Arabidopsis thaliana: one gene and its partner. The protein of the gene in region 1 interacts with the protein of each later gene in a pairwise test. Each region holds a gene or a part of one and is shown in the gene's direction. Other genes may lie near its edges.

Region 1 (4,289 bases):
CCTTCTTTGTTCCTCCTGGGTGAGATTGCTTTTACTCTGTTCCTCGATTTGATTTCATTTTTCGAATGAGATTCATGGGTTTTCTTTTCTTTTACTGTATATGATAAGAGTCCCACATCGTTAAGGTAGAGGAGAGAGTGTTGGTATATGTGTTCATTGGTTCCTCTCCCCATAACCTAGGTTCCCATGGATCTTATGAGCTAGACCTCAACTCTATCAGTATAATGATTGCATTAGATAGATAAAATCTAGAGACTCTTTTGTATTGTGGTGAAGTTTGAATTTACTCTTGTATGTTGTTACTTTGTTAGCTTATGGTTTTGATTCAATCGAATATGTAGTTATGAATAAGTATATGGCTTCTTTGGTGTTACTGAGATGTGAGATTAATGAGACTTGATATAGTTTATTTTCGTTCGTTGGTCTTGGTTTATAATCTCTACGTTGTTTTGAAAATGCAGAACCGGAGGTGGAGGTGGTGGTACTCCAGCCAAGGATGCCCTTGGAAACGATGTAGTTGCAGCGGAATGGCTTAAGACTCATGGTCCCGGTGACCGAACCTTGACCCAAGGATTAAAGGTAAGATCATGAACAACTTATTTAGCCCTCCTTGAAACACTGCTTTAAGAACTCAATAAAGGTTCTTGCATCTCAATGGGTGTGGATTATTTGTTATAGGGAGATCCGACTTACCTAGTTGTAGAGAACGACAAGACTCTAGCGACATACGGTATCAACGCAGTGTGCACTCATCTTGGATGTGTTGTGCCATGGAACAAAGCTGAGAACAAGTTTCTATGTCCTTGCCATGGATCCCAATACAACGCCCAAGGAAGAGTCGTTAGAGGTCCAGCCCCATTGGTAAGTCAAATACATTGCATTCTTTCTTTTTTGCGTATCTCTAAAGTGGACCGTCTAAAGTAACCTTAATTTCATGGAACAGTCGCTAGCGTTGGCTCACGCGGATATAGATGAAGCTGGGAAGGTTCTTTTTGTTCCATGGGTGGAAACTGACTTCAGGACTGGTGATGCTCCATGGTGGTCTTAAGACTCTTCAACAAGAAAAAGAGAAAGATTTGGTCTTTTTGTGTAAGACTTGTTTGAATGTTCTTATAATGTATAAGCTACATTTCATCGCAATTACTCTGTGAATTCTTGCCTCTTATATGAAATATTATGTTCATTCACTTCCCAAGTTTCTTTTTTAATTTCCCGTTTTCAAGGGTCACTTTGGGAGTAATTAGCTTTTGTTTGTTGACAATGGTACATGTAAGATCAGGTGTGTTTGCAATCAAAACAGGTATTTAAATACATTACTGAAAGATTAAATCAAAGGCCCGTATAGCTCAGTGGTAGAGCGTCAGTCTTGTAAACTGAAGGTCCGTAGTTCGATCCTGCGTGTGGGCACTTTTTATCCATTGCTTTAATTTTACGTTATCATTTATTTTTTTCAAGGATGTTACAAATATATTCACCAGTCATCAGGTTGTTTGCTGTAATTATTTGTCCATATGAGCATACATCAATCAATAAACCGAGATAATAACAAACTATTATTTTCGTTGACATTTTGTTTTTGATTTCTTATCATAAAAATGAAGTCAAAGACTTCACAAACTTGGGACAGTACCACATAGTGGCTCACCACTCGAAATGATTTGGTCTCTTGCCGGCTAAATGGTAAAGTAACTATGATTAAGTAAAATAAGTAGATTGATGTTTATAATCTTGTTTGTTCGGCTATGAAAAATATTAGTAAATATTTCATAAAGAATTGCTAAATATACAAATATGTTTTTTGGGTTGAATTTTATAGAACCGATAAAACTTTTAGAAGACTTCGATACAAAGCCACAAGTCTCCTTTAAAAGACCCAACATTTCCTCTCAACCAACAATAAAACAAATCCCTCTCTATCTCTCCTATTTTTGTCCCATTTACATGTTATTACCTCGAGCTTTTGGCTAAGAATTTCCACCAATTCTCTTTAACATTCTCCTTGATTTCTGACACTACCCTCATCGGGTCTCCAAGAGGCCAAGAAAGACCTCTTTCTCGGCTTCTAGGAGTCTCATCATTCTCTTTTTTCACATTTGCTTCCTCCACACGCAACCTCCAAAAAGCCCTAAATTTATTAAAACAAATGGATTCCACGGAGCTGAACCGTGTGTTCCAAATGTTCGACAAGGACGGAGACGGGAAGATCACTACGAAGGAGCTGAACGAGTCATTCAAGAACCTCGGTATCATAATACCCGAAGACGAACTAACACAAATTATCCAAAAGATCGATGTTAATGGTGACGGTTGTGTTGACATTGAAGAGTTTGGAGAGCTCTACAAGACGATAATGGTAGAAGATGAGGACGAGGTAGGAGAAGAAGATATGAAGGAAGCGTTCAACGTATTTGATCGGAACGGAGATGGGTTTATAACGGTGGATGAATTGAAAGCGGTTTTATCTTCCTTGGGACTCAAGCAAGGTAAGACCTTGGAGGAATGTAGGAAGATGATAATGCAAGTGGATGTTGATGGTGATGGTAGGGTTAATTACATGGAGTTTAGACAAATGATGAAAAAGGGTCGCTTTTTTAGCTCTTTGAGCTGATAATAACTTTTTTTCTTCTTTTTTTACCTTCTCTTGTTTTTAATTTTGGTTATTTGCTTAACCATTTTCTCTTGCGGTCTAAATGGAAAATACATGATCATAGACTAATTATTTTATCTTCAAGACATGCGAGAGCACATTGTAAAAAACTGTAGGTGTTTTATGTTTAAAATGTGATGAGTGATGCTTTGTTTACATTCAATTACCTTGAATTTCAAATAATGCACATGTAGAATGATAAAGTAGATGTGTTGTTTATAAGCATTTTATAATCACTTAAAACAATGGATATTCAAACAATTAATACAATCTTTATAAGCCAAAACTAAGACCCCAAATAAAAAATAAATATCATTAACATCCAAAAAAAAAAAAAAAAAAAAAATTGTATGCAACATAGTAAAAACATTATTAGATAGGATAGGATTCAAGAAACTTTTTTAGTAAGGAAAATATCATTGCATATGCTCAGAAAATTGGATAATTAACTCTCCTCAATTTAACTGTTCCCTTTTTACTGTTAGCATTTTGTTTACGCATGTACCCCTATGTTATTGATTAAGTCAATTATAGAGTATAGAGCAATAATGTTGCATGCTGTAGGAGTAGATATTAGGAGTAGATTTTTATTGTTAAATTTTTTCATTGTTATCAGGTTAACTTCGTTAACTATTATTCATATATCGAATATCTTAACGTTTTCATATAAATATTATTTTGTTATACAATAAGTTAGCATGTTATTATTCTATATATCATGTTGTTATAATTATTATCATGTTAATTATGTAACAAAAAGTTTAATTCTCTTTTATTATGCTGAATCTACATAAATAAAAAATACCGATTTACAATTTTAAATTGATAAATATATAATCTTATCGTGATTTCATAGCTTTTAGCACGTTAAACAAATATTTATATATTTATCATTCGCATATTACAATTATTTTTATTCAATGGCATTTTTATAATTAATTTTTTTAAAAAATATATTTTTAATTTATATATTATTTCTCTTTCATACTTATCTAAATTACTAATATTTACACATAGTTTGTTAATTTCTTGATCCTCCAGACATAGACATTAATATAGCCCTCTTAGTAAACGCCATTCTCCAATATGCATCATATAAATTAACGCAAACAATGAATCTGGACGTCTAATGTCACTTTCGTCAGAGTAAATGGGTCGCAGTATTAGAGGAATTTGAAAAACAATTGTGTTAAGCGTCACCATCACCCATACAACAATTTAGGCATGCCATCATAAAATTTGGACAGATATTGGGCTTTTGGTTAAATTAAATGGGCTGAGGTACTGAACTAAAGTTTATTAACCTAAACTTGTACAAATATTGGGCCTTTGGTTTGTTTAAATGGGTCTAAGGTTCAGAACCAAATTTGGGGCTTTATCATTCTGATTAACAAGACACCGGCGTGTAGTGAGCTTGTATCAGCTGCAGAGTTTCTCTCCCGATTGACAAAGTCGATTGAGCAGTAGGGTAGCTTTAGCATCCAATAACGTATATCGCAAAGAAGAGGTCCAAGCAAGCGATGATCCTCGTCATTGTTGAGTAACGTTACAAGGTCTCTGTTATCGGTTTCGAACCAAACATAACGCAATCCGTGAATCCATATCACTTGTAAGGCATGGAGAAACCCGAGAACCTCCGCGT
Region 2 (7,369 bases), about 16 Mb from region 1:
ATTGTTTATGTATACAGTAGACCCTAATTTGTTTCTCGCATATAAACCCATATTCATTCGCTAATTTGGTTGTTATGCATGCCTGTATGCTAATTAAGATTTATATACTTGGAGAAAACATCTTCCCCATGGTTAGGATTGTTTAGCCCCAGAAATGAACCGTTAACTTATCTTTTTCGATTAGTAATGAAATGATCAAATATTTTTACAAAAATATTCTACTATCCTTCAATTAAGCCATAGACAAAAAAAACCTGTAGGTCTCCCATCAATCACACAAAGGTAAAAAAACAGACTTTTAGGTGACCAATTTCGTACCATTTTGTAAAATCTAAATCGGAACAATGTAGAGCAAATGATGTAGAAAATATCATACATTATTAGAACCAACTCAATCAAACCTAACTCAAAATAATAATTTTGACATGACTATTCCCACTAAAACTACATATAAGTGACACCGGCTAAAGTTTTTTAAAAATTGTACGGCATACCAAAATCATGGAGGTTGATATGATATGTGTAGAATCATCCGAAAAATATATATTTGTGAATTTACACAAATTTATGGGTCATCAACGTACGTCTAGACCTCTTTCAAACAACTTTTTATGATTGCAAAATGTTATTTGGTTAATGGATTTCGTAACACAACAAATATCTCATCAACGAACTTCGTCCACCACTTGAATATGAAACCAAGCTGGTTTTCTTAGTCCCATATATAACTGAATTTTTCCTTCCCTAGTCACACTTTTAGCGATAGCAGGAGCAGTGACATCAGTCCGAACCGCGACCAAGTGAAATTACAACCTTCAAAACCGTTGCTAAACTGTGATTTTTTTATTTTTTTGGTAATGGCTAAACTGTGAATTTTATCCAGCAGATCACAGAATCTTGGCAACTTATGGGGTAACGAACTAGCTTCCCATGGCAGAGTGACAATCGGAGACCACAACCACACGAGCAACTTCAACGTCATCCCACAGCTGTTCCAATGCCTGTCCAACACATAACTCAGCAGAATCGCTTAAAGAAAAAAAATGATTAACAGTTTTATTGTTTATTTTTCTTTCTCAAAAGCATCCCAAATATTTTAGAGAAGCAAACATATACCAGAGCCCAAAATTTGTTAGGCCCTAAAGGCCAATAAAGCAAACAAAGCCGTGTAAAGAAAGATCTTAATAGCTTTCAAGGCCTATAAAGGCCCATTCTAAGCCCAAATCTGCATGTCCAACTTTTTTGAAAGTGTCATTTTCCATGAAGTCAAGGTAAACGCATTATTCAATTGGAGAAGAATAAAAAACACTAGTTATTGAACTAGAATGATGAACAGAGACATAAGCAATTAGTACCAAACGAATAATAAAAAGACATAAAGCAATCAATGTTTTTGAGTCCAAATAGAACCAATGGGCTTGGTCCAACGTGGCGTCCCCGAAGTGTCGGGTTTTTTGCAATAGTCTCTGGGTCAACGGTCCTCCAATTTCTCTTTATTTATATAAACGACCCCATTTCTTATTATTGTCAAAAATCACCGCACTTTTGTCCCACAATTGTCATTCAATTTGGTCAAAGTGAAATCAACGTGAGCAGCCAAACAACAAAAAACCAAAGCTACGAAAGGTAAACTTCTTAGAAAAATCTTGCAAAATATGGTCCAATTAAAACTCTCTGTATATTATATTCCATTTTTTTCTATACAGTATATATTATATTGAGTAAATCTAAAAATTACGTCATTTACTCATCCATAGTATTTTACTAGTTTTTAAACCTTTTTTTTTCTGTAATCTTCTAATTTTTTTAATTATAAAATGTCCACATTCATTCACAAATTTGGGAATAAAAACCAATCATAAACTCAACAATAATAACATAAACGCGTAATGTACTCGTCATGGCCTGCATGAATGTTTCAAGAATGATTTAACGTTCGTTATAAATGGAAAGTAGTGCATGTCTTTATTTAATTATTCTCTTCAATAATAAGTCGAATGTTTTTATTAAAAATGTAAGAGAAACTTTGTTGGACACACGAATTTAAAACGAGTCAACTCAGCTTCTCATCACCAAATGTTAATAAACTCAACGACTCGGTCAAATGCTTAAGCAAAAAAAACTCAGATCTTTGAATAAAAAAAAACTTTACCTTTCTTCTCCATTAAAAGCTTCCGATTTCTCTTCTTCACCCACCAAAAAATAAAAAGGTTCCTTTTTTCTTCTCCACCAAATATACAGAAGAATTTGAAACAGAGAGCCAAACAAAAAAGCCATTGAAGCTGGAAGACAAAAAAAACAGAGGAGATTGAAGAAGAAGAGGGAGTAAGAAGATGGAGAGTTACCTAAACGAGAATTTCGATGTGAAAGCGAAGCATTCTTCAGAGGAAGTGCTTGAGAAATGGCGTAATCTCTGTGGCGTTGTTAAGAACCCTAAACGTCGGTTTCGTTTCACCGCTAATCTCTCTAAACGCTATGAAGCCGCCGCGATGCGTCGCACCAACCAGGTTTTGTCTCTTTTCTTTTTCTTCTATGTCATCGTTGTTAATGATTTTGTTGAAATCTTCGAACTTTTAGATGGATTTTGTGTATAGCGATGAAGGATCTTAAAAACTTTCTATATACAGGAGAAATTAAGGATCGCTGTTCTTGTTTCCAAAGCTGCTTTCCAATTTATCTCTGGTGAGTTTATATGTGATCAAAGTTGCTGATTTGTGTCAAAGTTTCGATTTTTGTTTGTTTGTTTGTTTGTTTATGTGAGTTTTTGTTGTAGGTGTTTCTCCAAGTGACTACACTGTCCCTGAAGATGTCAAAGCTGCTGGCTTTGAGATTTGTGCTGACGAATTAGGATCAATTGTTGAAAGTCATGATGTTAAGAAGCTCAAGTTCCATGGTGGAGTTGATGGGCTTGCAGGTAAGCTCAAGGCATCTCCCACAGATGGCCTTTCTACTGAGGCTGCTCAGTTATCCCAAAGGCAAGAGCTTTTCGGAATCAACAAGTTTGCAGAGAGCGAAATGAGGGGTTTCTGGGTGTTTGTATGGGAAGCTCTTCAGGATATGACTCTTATGATTCTTGGTGTTTGTGCTTTCGTGTCTTTGATTGTTGGGATAGCTACTGAAGGATGGCCTAAAGGATCACATGATGGTCTTGGCATTGCGGCTAGTATTCTCTTGGTTGTGTTTGTTACAGCTACTAGCGATTACCGCCAGTCTTTGCAGTTCCGTGATTTGGATAAAGAGAAGAAGAAGATCACTGTTCAGGTGACAAGGAACGGGTTTAGACAGAAACTGTCGATTTACGACTTGCTTCCTGGTGACATTGTTCATCTGGCGATTGGAGATCAGGTTCCTGCTGATGGTCTTTTCCTCTCGGGATTCTCTGTGGTGATAGATGAATCGAGTTTGACTGGTGAAAGTGAGCCTGTGATGGTGAATGCGCAGAATCCTTTCCTTATGTCTGGAACCAAAGTGCAAGATGGATCTTGTAAGATGATGATTACTACAGTTGGGATGAGGACTCAATGGGGAAAGCTAATGGCGACTTTGACCGAAGGAGGGGATGATGAAACTCCACTGCAGGTGAAACTCAATGGAGTTGCTACCATCATTGGCAAAATTGGTCTTTTCTTTGCGGTGGTTACTTTCGCGGTTCTGGTGCAAGGAATGTTTATGAGGAAGCTTTCAACGGGAACTCACTGGGTCTGGTCTGGTGATGAAGCATTGGAGCTCTTGGAATACTTTGCTATTGCTGTGACAATCGTTGTGGTTGCGGTTCCTGAAGGATTGCCTTTAGCTGTGACTCTAAGTCTTGCGTTTGCCATGAAGAAAATGATGAACGATAAAGCTCTTGTGAGGCATTTAGCAGCATGTGAGACTATGGGATCTGCAACGACGATTTGCAGTGACAAGACTGGTACACTCACAACCAATCACATGACCGTTGTGAAGTCTTGCATTTGCATGAATGTGCAAGATGTAGCAAATAAAGGTTCTAGCTTGCAATCAGAAATCCCGGAATCTGCGGTGAAGTTGTTGATTCAATCGATTTTCAATAACACAGGAGGCGAAGTTGTTGTCAACAAACATGGGAAAACCGAGCTTTTGGGGACGCCAACAGAGACTGCTATATTAGAGTTGGGGTTATCTCTTGGAGGTAAGTTCCAAGAAGAGAGGAAGTCTTACAAAGTGATCAAAGTTGAGCCTTTCAACTCCACAAAGAAGCGAATGGGAGTTGTAATCGAGCTTCCTGAGGGAGGACGTATGCGTGCTCACACGAAAGGAGCTTCCGAGATTGTTTTAGCTGCTTGTGACAAAGTTGTAAACTCGAGCGGTGAGGTTGTTCCACTTGATGAAGAATCAATCAAGTATCTGAATGTTACAATCAACGAGTTTGCTAATGAAGCTCTTCGAACTCTTTGCCTTGCTTATATGGATATTGAAGGCGGGTTTTCGCCGGATGATGCAATCCCGGCTTCTGGATTTACTTGCGTAGGGATTGTGGGAATCAAAGATCCCGTACGTCCTGGAGTTAAAGAATCTGTTGAGCTTTGTCGCCGTGCTGGAATCACTGTGAGGATGGTTACAGGAGATAACATTAACACCGCGAAAGCAATTGCTAGAGAATGTGGGATTTTAACTGATGACGGTATAGCCATCGAAGGTCCCGTATTCAGAGAGAAGAATCAAGAAGAGTTACTAGAACTGATTCCAAAGATTCAGGTGCTTTTTGTTTCATGAACTAAAGACTTAATTTTTTTTGTTTAGTTTTTGAAACATAACCTTTCCTATGTTCTTATACAGGTGATGGCTCGTTCTTCACCAATGGATAAGCATACACTTGTGAAACAGTTAAGGACAACGTTTGATGAAGTTGTTGCTGTCACTGGAGATGGAACAAATGATGCACCTGCACTTCATGAAGCTGATATTGGACTAGCAATGGGAATTGCTGGAACTGAAGTGAGTATATGATAAGATTTTGTTATGTCATTTGTGAGAGCTAAAGAATCTAAAAGTTTCTATCTGTATAACCTTTTAGGTGGCGAAAGAGAGCGCTGATGTCATCATTCTCGACGATAACTTCAGCACGATCGTCACAGTTGCTAAATGGGGACGTTCTGTTTACATAAACATCCAGAAATTCGTTCAGTTTCAGCTTACCGTTAATGTTGTTGCACTGGTTGTTAACTTCTCTTCAGCTTGTTTAACCGGTAGGTTTAGTAAGAATACCAATTCAATGTCTCGAAAAGAATCATTTTGGATTCCTTGTTTGACACAGCTCTTATGATAATCTTCAGGAAGTGCTCCTTTAACTGCTGTTCAATTGTTGTGGGTGAACATGATCATGGACACACTTGGAGCTCTTGCTTTAGCTACAGAGCCACCAAACGACGAGCTGATGAAGCGTTTACCTGTTGGAAGGAGAGGCAATTTCATCACTAATGCGATGTGGAGGAACATTTTAGGACAAGCTGTTTACCAATTCATCGTAATTTGGATTCTCCAAGCCAAAGGGAAGGCTATGTTTGGTCTCGACGGTCCTGACTCAACTCTCATGTTAAACACTCTTATCTTCAACTGCTTCGTCTTCTGTCAGGTAAAGAACAAAGATTACTGATAACAATACTCGAGCTATAAAGATAGATTCTTGACATGACTTTGGTTCTGAAAACTCCAGGTGTTTAACGAGATAAGCTCGCGAGAGATGGAAGAGATCGATGTTTTCAAAGGAATACTGGACAATTACGTCTTTGTGGTTGTGATCGGTGCAACGGTTTTCTTTCAGATCATAATCATCGAGTTCTTGGGCACATTTGCAAGCACAACACCACTCACAATAACACAATGGATCTTCAGTATCTTCATAGGTTTCTTGGGTATGCCAATCGCCGCTGGACTGAAGACGATTCCCGTTTGATCGTTCCATCAAAATTGGCTCGAAACCACTCTTTAAAGATCTCTATATTAGACCAGTTACTTCAAAGTTTAGAACGGACAAGTCTTCTAACAAAGTTTTTGCATTATGCAATGACTCTGTTTTTTATTCTTGACTTTTATTTTTCAGTTTGATTAGTGCTATTAAGGACAAATATCTGATTTCCTCCATTTTTGTAAAACTCTCTGTATCTTTGAAATGACACTTCTCTTTTCTTTCTTTTTCTCATTTTTGGAATCTAAATTTGGTCTCTATTGAATGACAAATGCAAAAATACAGAAAAAGGACATTGAAAAAACAGAGGAAGCAAAAGGTTAAAATAAGAAAAATGATTATTTGGGTACAAAATTGTTATCTAGCCAGACTGTAATTTGATATACTTAGAAAATCTCTCAATGAAGTCATGGCTTTTAGTGGGAGCCTCTTCTCCTGACATCATATCTCATCAGTCAAAACTGATTCCATATAACAATTCCAAAGCCTGTCAATCTCAAAACTGTAATAAATAAGAAAGACTCTTCTTTAAGAAAAGAAAAAAACATTTTTAAATGTTATCAATTTAGGATCTCTATGAAGTAAAACCATTTTTTAGATTGAAAAAATGAGTATACTATAGTCATTTGTCCCTTGTAGGCGTATAGGTAAATTATAATTTCTATGTGAACATTAGACCGGTAAAATATTCTATAACTAATTGTTTAAGTTTGTGATCGTGTGAATAAATGTTCATAAATAAAGGACTAATTAATATCTAGAATGAAAATAGAATTTACATAAAGATTAGTTATTTTTGTGATATTTCAATCTCACTAGTCATTAGTTTATCCATCTCCTAACCAAAGTGAGAGTTGTAACTAAATTGTGTTACCCGTGAATCTCACATATGTCTACACAAAACCCAACAGAAACAAAATGGTTTAACTCAATGATAATAAGCAAAAAAAAAAAATAACAATTGGGACATACTAATATTCATTGAAAGATAGGCAACAGAAAATTCAGAAGCATTAACTAGTTCTTGGTGAAGTAAAGCTTGACCCTTTATGCTTCTTGATTTGTTGAATAATCTCTTAGAGCAACAAAACATTGGCCTTAAACCACACACACATTATCTTTAATTATATTCTGTCAGTACTTTATGCTTCTTAATTTGTAAGAATGCATTTTGTTTGTAATAAGTCTTTTAATTCGTTGCTAATCATTTTGGAATTAAAGCTTTAATTAATGGAACCAAAACTTTGGATCCCAAGTTGTATTGTATGAGACAGTTGTTTCTCACTTAAACAAGTCGTTGGGTTGTTGTTTCTTCAGTCTATTACACATATGTTTTTTTTTTTTTTTCTCAACTGCATTTCATTGAAAATATTAACAATAATCCTATAAACACACACAAAAAAAACAATCTACCTCTATATGTACGAGTACGATGCACTT

What was found.
Region 2: the proteins of AT4G03290 (region 1) and ACA2 interact in a two-hybrid assay, tested with the Arabidopsis thaliana proteins (one large-scale study listed by BioGRID).

What each region holds. Positions count from the first base shown.
Region 1 is NC_003075.7:1,440,670-1,444,958, forward strand, and holds AT4G03290 (EF hand calcium-binding protein family), read left to right. Parts: upstream 1-1,876; 5' UTR 1,877-2,143; coding exon 2,144-2,608; 3' UTR 2,609-2,969; downstream 2,970-4,289. Other genes in the region: PETC (photosynthetic electron transfer C), read left to right, coding at 1-19, 462-579, 679-861, 944-1,048; AT4G03292 (Polynucleotidyl transferase, ribonuclease H-like superfamily protein), read right to left, coding at 4,003-4,289. UniProt on the Arabidopsis thaliana protein: Potential calcium sensor.
Region 2 is NC_003075.7:17,681,773-17,689,141, reverse strand, and holds ACA2 (calcium ATPase 2), read left to right. Parts: upstream 1-2,036; 5' UTR 2,037-2,333; coding exon 2,334-2,507; intron 2,508-2,627; coding exon 2,628-2,682; intron 2,683-2,773; coding exon 2,774-4,719; intron 4,720-4,800; coding exon 4,801-4,959; intron 4,960-5,038; coding exon 5,039-5,210; intron 5,211-5,297; coding exon 5,298-5,596; intron 5,597-5,677; coding exon 5,678-5,917; 3' UTR 5,918-6,283; downstream 6,284-7,369. UniProt on the Arabidopsis thaliana protein: This magnesium-dependent enzyme catalyzes the hydrolysis of ATP coupled with the translocation of calcium from the cytosol into the endoplasmic reticulum.